Linked DNA regions of Xenopus tropicalis. The protein of the gene in region 1 purifies or fractionates together with the protein of each later gene. This does not show direct contact. Links are inferred from orthologs where the notes say so. Each region holds a gene or a part of one and is shown on either strand. Other genes may lie near its edges.

Region 1 (5,116 bases):
CCAGCTATCTGCCTATGATTGTAGCACAGCACTAAACAAAGGTACTCCAGGGTGCTGTGCTATTTACAGAGGAGGTGCACCTGGCTAAAAAGTAAGTGTTTGTGGTCACTGGGGGAGTCTGCTAATGTACATTAGAAGTAGCTGCACCTGTATGTGTAAACACACACAAAACAGACAGCAAACAGGAGGCCAGGTTAGTAAATACTGCCAACAGCTGGCCTATGCTATACCAACTTGCAGAGAAGGTTATAAGAAAGTTAAGCTTTGTGTAACTTGCTACTTAATATTTAGTCCTGTTTGGGGAAATGATTTTTGGGTAAGTCATGTGCTTTTCCAGTTACACCAGATAAACAATAAACAAATAAAATAAAAAAAAGTCTCACCACCATCAGTCATGCTACTCCCCTTTTCTTCCATTTCCTGCTTTACTTTTTCTAATTCCTCTGTTATCTGACAATAAAGCACAAAGGAAATATGTAAAGTAGGAATGAAGTCATGATGACACTGCATCTGTTATTACTAAAGGAAATGCTTTACCTCAGCGAGGATTCTGGTTCTCTCAGTTACCCCTCCACTTGCTTGCTGGTATCTTTCTTTTGCCTAATAAAGGAAACCCGAAAATATAATTTTGCATGTAAAAATATTAACCCAACATTCATTTGTACAGTATCAATTACATATAAGCCAAATCACTTAAGATTATACAAAACATACACCCCTCTTTACCCTTGGTCTTTGTCTCTCATCAGTAACTGTTGTCTACAATCCTGTCTCTAAAAATAGAAAGGATACAGTTGAAAGACTCTTTTTCCAAGAGACTAACACTGTGTTATTCATGTCTGCAACTCACAATAAACAGAAATTCACCTAAGGCAAGCCTATGTTACAAGTAAAAATATAGCTAAAACATTGTGCGACGCCTTCAGTGAGTGCCACCATGCTGCAGCTACAATATACCCTGTTGTTCAACATAAGTCCTATGAACAGGGCTTGTTCTGAAGATATTTTTTGCCTCTTGATTCATTCATGAAAATCTTTTCTTAGTTCCTGAGCTAAACAGGGAAACTGAAGCTATTTCATGTTTAGTCATGGTGAGATATATAAGATTAACAGTATACAATTCCCTCTTTTCCACTTCATGTACCCATGGCCTTAGTGCATATTCTGTCAGGCTGAGAAGACTTGCATTCAGTGGGGCTGAATCCAGGGCATTCACACAGTGTAGTGGGGATACTGTGTAATGTAGTTTGTGAATGGTAGTAGCCTTCAAGGATAAAATCCCTTGGTACTGCATTAAGGACTTAAGTCTGCACTTCTTGAATTGAACAGTTTTTAATTTGTCTTTCTAAAGAAAAACAGAAGAACAATGAAGTGAGAATGTGAGGGTACCTCGCTCAGCTGAGCCTGTACAGATCGATACTCTTGCACCAGCTGCTCCAGTTGATTGTTGATGTACTTTTCACGGCTACTAACTTTCTCCAGTGCCTTGGCAACTTCATTGTGAAGTTTGTCAAGGTATCCCTGCAGTATAAACAAAAAAAAACCAAAAAAACAAAATCCATTACCCATCTATTATATAAAACTGCCAATAAAAAACATGGTTATTTCCCACTCAATAATGTGCTAATCTATAGGTTAAGTCAGTGAATTCCGTATTCCTGTTCTCTGTCAAAGTATTTTCCAGATTTACACAAACACACACAATATTATGGCTCACAAAATGTAGCTGTACAAAAGTTATGCCTGCTAATGTGGCTCTCGCTCATGAGCAGCAGGTTGCTCACCAACCCCTTGGATGCTGCTCGCAGGAGCCTCAAAGCAGGTGCTTATTTTTTAATTTCTGGCTTGGAGGAAAGTTTTGGTTGCATAAAAACAAAGTATAGACTGCCAGTCCACATGGGGCTACCAAATAGCAAAAACTGCCCTTTCTGGCACCCCAGGAACTGTTTTCAAGCTTGTGTTGTTCCCAAACTCTTTTTAACTTTGAATATGGGTCATAGGTAAAAAACCCTAAACAAAACTTTACCTTGGTTTCCTTTAAGGATGTGTCAATGCCATCTCTGTGCTGGTGCATCTGATCAACATGGACCCTCCAGTCCTATAAGCCAAAGATATAAATATGAATATAAATAAATGAAAAGTAAACCTAACTGGTAATTAGAATACTGACCAAATGATAATTACAAAAAGCAGGCCAATTGTGATTTTCTCAGCTACTGTTATGACGGTTATGAAATGGAGAAATTCAATCCATTACTGTTTAAGCTTGGTTAAAAAGTTTATAAAGTCACAGACACTAATCGCAGAGGTCAGACAGTGATAAGGTTATGTGATTTACACTACCATATATAGAGGCAGAAAATACAAACTTACAAAATGGCAGCACAGTGACCTAGTAGTTAGCATTGCTGCCTTAAATTATTCTGTGACTGTGTTTCCTCCAGCTGACCCTTCATTTCCTTACCACCGAATGGCTTAGTTGCTCGATAAACAGACCCTATTGTGTGCATATGCTTATTGTAGTAAACTTGACTGTAAGCTCCACTGCGGAAGGGAATAATGTGAGCACTGATCAACTCTGTAAAGTGCTGTGGAATAATAGAATGATGTCTAACAATGAGACCTTGTTGTCTGTCCTGATTGTGACTTTAAGCTGGGGCAGAACACGTTCCACTTCTAGGATCCATTCTGCTGCATCTGTGTTTGATTCCAAAATCTCTTCTGGTTTGGAAGATTCCTTTGTATTCTAAAGTAATACAGAAATAGGTTTATATGTGAAGTTACAAAAGGCCATTCAGCACTCAGTTTTAATGCATAACAAATTGGTATCTTGTGATGTTATACATTCTCCACAGAAATAAACATCTACTAGGTGGCACTATTCTCTTAAAACCTATAAAGAGTGCCTCATCTGAGAAAGTTCTACGGCAACTCAGTGAACATAGGTAAAGTTGTATGCACAATAACAGAATCTCCCCCATTAAAATCGATGTTAGTCTTACTTAGAAATATGGAACATGTTTTTTTGTTTTATTTGAATAAGTATCATAAGGATACAGACATATTATAACTAACTTCATCCCTATCGTGCCCAGAATCTTTCAGTTCTGTCTTGCTTTAGCCATGGTGGCAGTTGGTCTCCAGCAGAGCTTGGCAGCCCAATTTCCACCACTTATAAAGAAAACAGGGGCTAAAATTTTGAACCTGCACCTCAGTGTTTCACTCTTTGTGCTTCTTCACTATTAAAAGGCCTAAAGGGGAGCACTGCTTCTATCCTAGTAAATGAAGAACAAAGAGTCATCCCTAGGACATTGTATTCCTAGAATTAAGTGGATAATAAAATCATTTTAAAAGCCTATATATATCGTATATTTACATTCATGAAACAAAAATGTAACTTACCAGTTTCTGTGTTTGTGCTGAAAGAGCATTTAAATCAATAAAATGTTCCTGATCATTGTCAGAATCCTCTTCCTAAAAATGATACAGCTTTAGTTAACTTTTATACATGTATAGTACATAGACAACAAAATATGTGCATAAGCATCATTTCACATCACAAGTATATGTTTTAAATTTTCCATGGAAAACATCCAATGCCTTTACATAGTAAAAAAAAAAAAAAGTTATTCTTAAAAGGTACATTAAAGGGAACATGCATTTTTTAACCCTCTCTTAGCCAGTGCTCTTTCTAGGCCTGGCAGTTCTATTCAATGCTATAAGTGACCGCCATAACTAGAAACCTGCTTCCTAGTTCTTTACTGCTCTGCTAGGCGCCATGCCACTGGCATAGCATTAATTACCTTTTTTTAGTTGTGCCAACACAATGGGGCCGATTCACTCAAGTCCGAAAAAACGAGTGATATTTATAGCATGCGTTAAAAATATTATCACTTCTTATATTTTGAGAATTAAGGATCAATTCACTAAGAGGACACTTGTCAGAATTAAGAAGCGATGTAATTGTCGTTATTCTGGCAATGACATATTTTTAAGAGTTATTTTAAACCATGCAATATATTTATGCGTTATTTCGTAGCACGCGATATTAGCGCACGCTATTGCGCACGTAACCGTTACTTTCTGAAAACTACTGTTCTGAAAATTACCATTTCCCTGAAAACTGGAGGATGCATGACAAGTCCATTTTGTCACCACAGACAATCACCAGCTGCAATTTTGTTTAGTAACGCCTACTCGTGGGTGGCGTTAAGTTTCACAGTAATTATCGCCACATTTTATGCTTTTAATGCTTCAAATATGTTTGTGAATTACACGTTAGTATTATTTCTATTCAATAATTACCTCAATGCGATGGAAATAACGCTTTGCCATAATCAGGCTTTTTGCACATGCGATATGAGTAGTAACGAATGAAAAAAGACTTTGATGATTCGGTACTTAATTATCGAACACTTTTTAATGCACAAAACTATGCGTTACGTGTTAACCACCTTTAGTGAATCCGACCCAATATGTTATCAAACTGACTCCCTCATTTCTGAAAAATGACCATTACCTGCTCATGTATAGGGTCATGTTCTGACCCACAGTAGTTAGCAGTTGAAATTCCACATGATGTGGCCTGGGTCAAACAGTCAGAAAGGTGCAATCTGGGCATTCCCATGCATGGTCACATTTTGCAATGCCAGCAATCTTGCAGTGGGCAGAACCAGTGGATTCTTATGGAACAGAGAGCTACAAGATATTTAAACCTAGCTTAAACTAAAACTAGGATTGTTTCATATTTCTATCCCTATTATTTTTTACCAATTCTAACTGACTGTGCCTTTAGGGATACAAATTGCATTAAAATACAAAAGCCGTGCAGATACTCACAGCAATTTCATCTTCAATTTTGTTTAAAGTCAACTCAGCATCGTCCTCAATTACATTTTCTTCGTCTTGCTCTTCTGTTGGGTATGTAGGCCTATAATGATACAGAACATGGCAACGGACAGATTAGATACAATAAACATACTTATAAAAATCTTACACTGAGAACCCTACAAATATACTACTTTCTGCTTTCCCCTGCATCATTTACTTTATTTATCATCACTAACACCCCCTCTTAACAGGCACCAGCATATAATAATCTTTCTAATGTTAACTT
Region 2 (6,176 bases), on another chromosome or scaffold:
GAAGACCAACTGCAAAATGTGGTGCAGCATGCTGAGCTACAGGTGCAAGGGAACCTTCCACACTGCACTGCTCCCAGGTCTCATACTGTATGTGGTTTCTATTGCATTAACCAACAAGCAAGCTGTAATATTGTGGCATTGATGTCAATTTGTCTGACATTTACAAAAGGACGTATTTTATGCCCACATTTGTGCATTCCGTGCCTGGCAGTAGGTGCAACATTTCTGATGAGTAGTGACAATGAAATTTAGGGAACAAAATAACACTGCATTGTGGCTAAAAAAGCAACTGTTTTTTGCTTTGTTGCCTTTAGTACCTGAGGCCCTTTCACTCCTTTCAATCAGCGACACACAAAATAAGAGAGAAATGAATGCATGCTACACAAGGAAAAGGAACTTTCCATTCTCTGGCACCAACCTGGGAGCTGAGGGCTGAATGTCTTCGCTCTAACTCTCTGCAACCACTTTGCGCAGCTACTGAATGAGCTCTCATTGGTGACATCAAACACCAAGCACAGGGCACCCGGCTGGTCCCACTGCATGAAAAAGAGCATTCAGAGAAAGCAGCATTAAAAATAGAAATGCTACAAAAAAATCTTATTTCTAATTCCTACATTCCCCCATAAACATATATTTTCATTTTAATTACCATTATAGGGTACCCACATGGATCCTGTAAATGATGGGCACACATTTCTATACACAATCATAAATGCATCGCTGTTTGTCCATATATTCTCATGTGAGAAATGCATTGGTTACTCTGGAAGCTTTATCCTTGCCTATCCTCAAAGTACTCAATTAGCCTGTACTAGTGAATTAGACATTGGATCTTTTATCAACATATGCCTTTTTCTACTACATCTTAGTAGTCCACCAATTCTCTGGAGTCTCTTTCGTCAAAAATGACTGGGAAGAGGTGAGTCTCTCTGGAAAGCTGCTGATAATTGCTTGTTTTGGCAACCCTTGGTTCAGAATGACTTTTGGGAAGAAAGCTCAAGATTGCTCCTAAAATTTCTAGTTATATGGGATACCCTATAGCAGTGGTCCCCAACCTTTCATACTTGTGAGACACAGTCAAATGCAAAAAGACTTGGAGAGCAACACAAGCATCATAAAAGTTCATGGAGGAGCCAAATAAGGGCTATGATTGGCTATTAGACTGCCTCTATGCACACATCAGCTTACAGGAGGCTTTATTTGGTAGTTATTATTGTCTTTATTCAACGAAAACTTGCCACCGAGTCAGGAATTCAGAAATAACTCCCTGGTTTGGGGGCACTGGGAGCAACATCCAAGGGGTTGGTGAGCAACATGTTGCCCCTGAGCCACTGGTTGGGGATCACTGCCCTATAGGCTGAAGTTTACCCATTGGGTTTTAAAGAACAGGCAGGGCAGTATGCTGGTCAAATTCCCAACTACAGACCAGTTTTCCCCCCTAGCATATGTAAAGCCAGGGAAGTGGATCCACAAGAAACACATTTTTGTAGAGATATCCTTATTCATATGCAAAGCAGAAGGAATTAGCCCAGGATTGCTCTGACCTAGCTGAGCTTTAAACCCCAGTAATGTAGAGAGTGCTATTTTGAGACAATTTGAAACTGGTCTTTATTTTTTATTTGAAGTTTTTGAATTATTTTGCTTTTTGTTCAGTAGCTCTTCAGTTTGGAATTTCAGAGGGTATCTGGTTGCTAGGGTCCAATTTCACCTAGCAACCAGGCAGTGTTTTGAAAAAGGCAGCAATATGAATAGGAGAGGGCCTAAATAGAAAGATAAGTAATAAAAAGTAACAATACAATTGTAGCCTCAGAGAGGAATAGTTTTTGGCTGTTGGGGTCAGTGACCCCCTTTTTAAAGCTAGAAAGAGTCAAAAGAGGAAGGCAAATAATTTAAAAACTATAAATAAAAAAAGACCAATTTAAAAGTTGCTAAGAATAGGTCATTCTATATGGGTGAACTACCCATTTAAGTGTATTCCATGTTAAAGTACATTTTAGGAGTGGGTTTCCTTAATTCGCTCCTCTATTCCTGTACAGCAGACTGTAGGTGGGTGGCAACCTGAAGGTCAGTTGCAGTGACATTTTGGGAGAATGCCTGCTTGCTCTCCAAGATACACCTGAGTTCAATTGGGGAAAACTTTTTTGTTGTTGTTCTTAAAACTAAAGCTAAATGACCTGTATCTTTTTAGCAAAAAGGGGGACCTGATTAAAGGCTTGAACTGAAAAAGTCCAACAACCACTGCTGTAAAACATGATGCCGCTCCTTACTGATTGCTAAGGACATTCATTTTCTAAGACAGAAGCTGCCATACTGATTCCCTAAAAGAAGGGGTTCTTTAAAACCTTACTAATCAACTAGAAGAGATGTGTTCATATTTGCACAGTCATGCAATGATTTGCATTCTCCAGGGCCTTGGTTACACAGGGAAATAAGTGTCAACTCTCCCCTTTTCTTCTTTTCTCTTCCCTCATTTAACGTGGAATAAAAGAAGAAGAAAACATTGTGGGTTACCATTATAATTGGAAAAATCAGGGTAATAATGTTTCTTATAAAATGACCTCTGTACATAATCATGAGCTTAAATGGAACCAGCATTACAACTGCCTGATTTATTTTTGGATTGGATCAAGTAGAAAGGAGCTGTATACTTCACAGCCTAACCATTTATTAGGTAAGAAAAGACAGGAGCCTTATAGTGCGAGGTGCTTCAGATTGGATTGCGTAAGACTCAGCACGGCGGGATTGGCTTCAGTAGCTTTGTCAGAATGAACAGAGGGACTTACCAGCTTCTCCGTCACCTCATAAAAGATTGCTTTGCCAGGACTGTCGCAGAGGAAGAGCTCCTGTAAAGGAACAATGGAATGAGCTGGGCTTATATGTGAAGTCTCAGAACAGACTGCATAATGGACAAAACAGAAAAGGCAGGTTAGCGGAGAGGTGTGACCCTGGGCTTAATGTTTTATGGCCCAATTATTATTTGTGCAAAATGCCCAACTGGCAGAGCATATATGGTTAAATTAACTTTACCCAAGTGGGTATAAATAGCTTGTGCTGCCCCAGGCTGTTAACCCCTACCATCTGGGAAATATATTATAACCATATTTTCCAATCCGCAGATAAGGTTGCCACCTACTGGACTGCCCCAGACATCACGGTTCCACCCCTGACATCACCAGCGCACCCCCCTACCCCACATCATTGTGCATGGTAGGAAGTGATGCATTACGTCACTTTTTGTCCAAACAGGTACCCCCTATCCATTTTGGATGTAGCTGGCACGTATCTGGTGAAAAAAAAAAAATTCTGCTAAAAATGTTATTTCCCATATCACCAGTCAAGAGCATCGCCACTAAAGCTGCTGCCCTAAGCTTGGGTCCTAAAGTGCCTATATGGGTAAATATGGGCCTGGTCCCACAACCTTTGTCTGGCTTTTGCTGGCAACCCTATTCACAAATGTCTCCGATTCTCCAACCAACCCTTATTTGATTAACCTTGCAAAGGAAAATAATTGTTGAATCTACAGAAAATAAAATAAAATTGTTAAAAAAAAAAAACAAAAAACAAAACTACAACCAGTGTAGAAGAAGCCAGCTGTGAACACACATTCAAAGCATTGTGGGAGTCTTGGCTGAATGAGAGCTGGCTTCTTTTACTTTGCTTTAAAAGTCAGAACCAGCTGTGCAGAAAGGGCCAGAAAAAGACTGCTTTCTACAGGAGCGATATTTACAAATCAGAAAAGCACCCTTACCACACTATCTCCAGTATCTGGTATCTGAACGTTTTTTACAGAAACCTCCATGCTAGTGGTCTGCAAGGCAAAAAATGACATTGTAGTTTAGAAAATGTCAGTACTGGTGATCAAATGTACACAGCGCCAACAACATGCAAAATCCAGAAACCCAGACACTACTTCCCAATCCCGTTGGTACCCTGCAGCCTATATCCACCATAAATTCAATGTATTTCTATTCGGCATGACCTACCATACTGTAATTCTTTGGGAAATGGCTCCCATCACTCCGGAAGAGTTGGACCAGGGTACTTTTCCCCACAGTTGTGTCACCTGTGATAGCAAAGGAACATATGTCACACACCTTCACTCAAAACATTTTATTTCAGCTCTTAAAGGAAAATATATCCCACTTGTTGACATGAGTTCCTTCAGTTGGGGCTATGCTAAAATGGTGCATAACACTATCTGACCTGCCAGAAATAAATATATAGATTTATTTTTTACACAGACATGCCCGATTCCTCAGATTGAGAGGAAACCATTAGAGCCTGTCTCTGATTCGCAGGGACCATTTCCTAACCCCTCCTCAGCAGAAATACTCAAGCCCTCCTCTCACCTTGTTCGATGAAATATTGCAGAATAATGTTCACCCTATATGATTCGAGGAACACATGTCCTTGGGCTTTAGCTTGAAGGTTCACCTTTAAATTAACTTTTGTATGACACAGGCAGTGATATTCTGAGACAACTGGCAGTTGGTTTTCATTTTTTATGATTTTTCAGTTATTTAGCTTTTTGTTCAGTAGATCTCCAATTTAGAATTTCAGCAGATGTCTGGTTGCTAAGGTCTTGTTTACCTTAGCAACCAGGCAGTGGTTTGAACGAGAGACTGAAATATGAATTAGAAAGGGACTGAAAAGAAAATTAAGGAATAAAAAGTAAAAATGATAAAATTGTAAGTTCAGTGATAGTTTTTTTAAGTACTGGGGTCTGTGACTCCCATTTAAAAACTATAAAAAATAAATAATAAAGAACAATTTCAAATTTCTAGGAATAGGATTTTCCATAACATATTATTATTTAACTTAACCACCCCTTTAAAATGATACACAATATCCAATAAAATGTGTTTTATAAGAAGGCGCTCAAAGAATCAATAGAGAGACAGGCATAGTAAAAAAAAAAAAAAAAATTATTTTAATTGTGAAGGGTACAAATGACCGAATGCGTTTCATGCTGGATAGTACCAAAACACGAAGGCCATTTGTATCAGAGAGATAAGCATAGGGGAGAGCTATGGTTTGGGGGTTTGCCTTGGCACCTCCCTGACTTAGCCTGGCTCTGTCTGTCTGAGTACCTGCTTAAAATTAGCAATGTTTATAATATGGTGATTCTAAACGTGCTTTATAAATGGCAGATTCTTGTTCATCAGGCAGAGATTTGATTATTTTTCTCAATACCAAAACCAATGCTCATCCCTAACCTCCTTGTAAATTCTCCCTTAGAATATTCTACAAATAACCCAGCTGATAGTACTGTTGCAAAATACACTTTATGTGCCTAGTCTTTATACACTGTCTGGTCTGCCCAACATAAATGCAACTCGGTGAGCACAAACACAGAGCCACCCGCCATATCACGTAGCAAAGCCAGGGACATTCCCCTTCTTCCACTTTGTACCAATAAAGGTCTCAATGGCTTCTTAATACAAGCGCAATAAACTCTTCAGGGGTCTGTAATTATGGGTAAAGCAATTCCGCTGCTCACTAGTCTGTTTAATGGCACTCACAGCTAACATACTCCAGACATGCAATTTCTTCCCTTACATAATCATGCGCCCTGTTGGGCAGTATTGTGTTCTTTATACATAATATGGTAATGTATATAATCAACACTGCCACTTACTCCACCAATTGAGGCCACATGGTAGCTGTAACTTTAAGTGTCATGTAAACAGTGGTATTATCACAAGGCTTTTAATAAATGGACGCCGTGCCCTTTTATTGTTGCCCCCTCGAGGGTGCATAATCTCATATAAAGGGAAGGCATAAGCCGCAAAAAATGGGGGTGTTAAAATAAAGGTCAATAAAAAGATAAAGCATATATTTAAGGCAATTAGAGCTTTCCATTTATCACAATTACCTTTATGTGCTATGAATCATGAAAATAACACAAGCCAATTCTTTGCTGATGGACGACTTACTCTGTGCTACAACACTGCACGCTTATCATTATACACACAACCAGAACATAAAACACAATAGTCTGTCTAGTTCAACCATTAAAAGAGAGAACTAAACCGTAAAAAAACATCATGGGTAGAAATGCCCCCCCCCCCCCCCAGCTCTCCCCTTACTAACCTGTATCCGTCTCCGGAACAGCTTGAAGTTGAACAGCTTTATGAGCTTCTGCACACTTGGGGTTGGGACAATGTTCTGATAGG

What was found. The genes of interacting proteins can lie anywhere in the genome.
Region 2: the proteins of ift57 (region 1) and ift27 purify together in Homo sapiens (co-immunoprecipitation; 3 studies listed by BioGRID and IntAct, with this or other methods). This does not show direct contact. The link is inferred for Xenopus tropicalis from reciprocal best matches to the Homo sapiens genes IFT57 and IFT27.

The regions. Positions count from the first base shown.
Region 1 is NC_030678.2:103,603,877-103,608,992, forward strand, and holds part of ift57 (intraflagellar transport protein 57 homolog), read right to left. Parts: intron 4,931-5,116; coding exon 4,840-4,930; intron 3,475-4,839; coding exon 3,403-3,474; intron 2,747-3,402; coding exon 2,624-2,746; intron 2,099-2,623; coding exon 2,027-2,098; intron 1,522-2,026; coding exon 1,390-1,521; intron 601-1,389; coding exon 538-600; intron 451-537; coding exon 384-450; intron 1-383. UniProt on the Homo sapiens protein: Required for the formation of cilia. Plays an indirect role in sonic hedgehog signaling, cilia being required for all activity of the hedgehog pathway.
Region 2 is NC_030680.2:123,414,638-123,420,813, reverse strand, and holds part of ift27 (intraflagellar transport protein 27 homolog), read right to left. Parts: intron 4,064-6,176; coding exon 3,984-4,063; intron 3,809-3,983; coding exon 3,749-3,808; intron 2,844-3,748; coding exon 2,784-2,843; intron 537-2,783; coding exon 419-536; intron 1-418. UniProt on the Homo sapiens protein: Small GTPase-like component of the intraflagellar transport (IFT) complex B that promotes the exit of the BBSome complex from cilia via its interaction with ARL6. Not involved in entry of the BBSome complex into cilium. Prevents aggregation of GTP-free ARL6.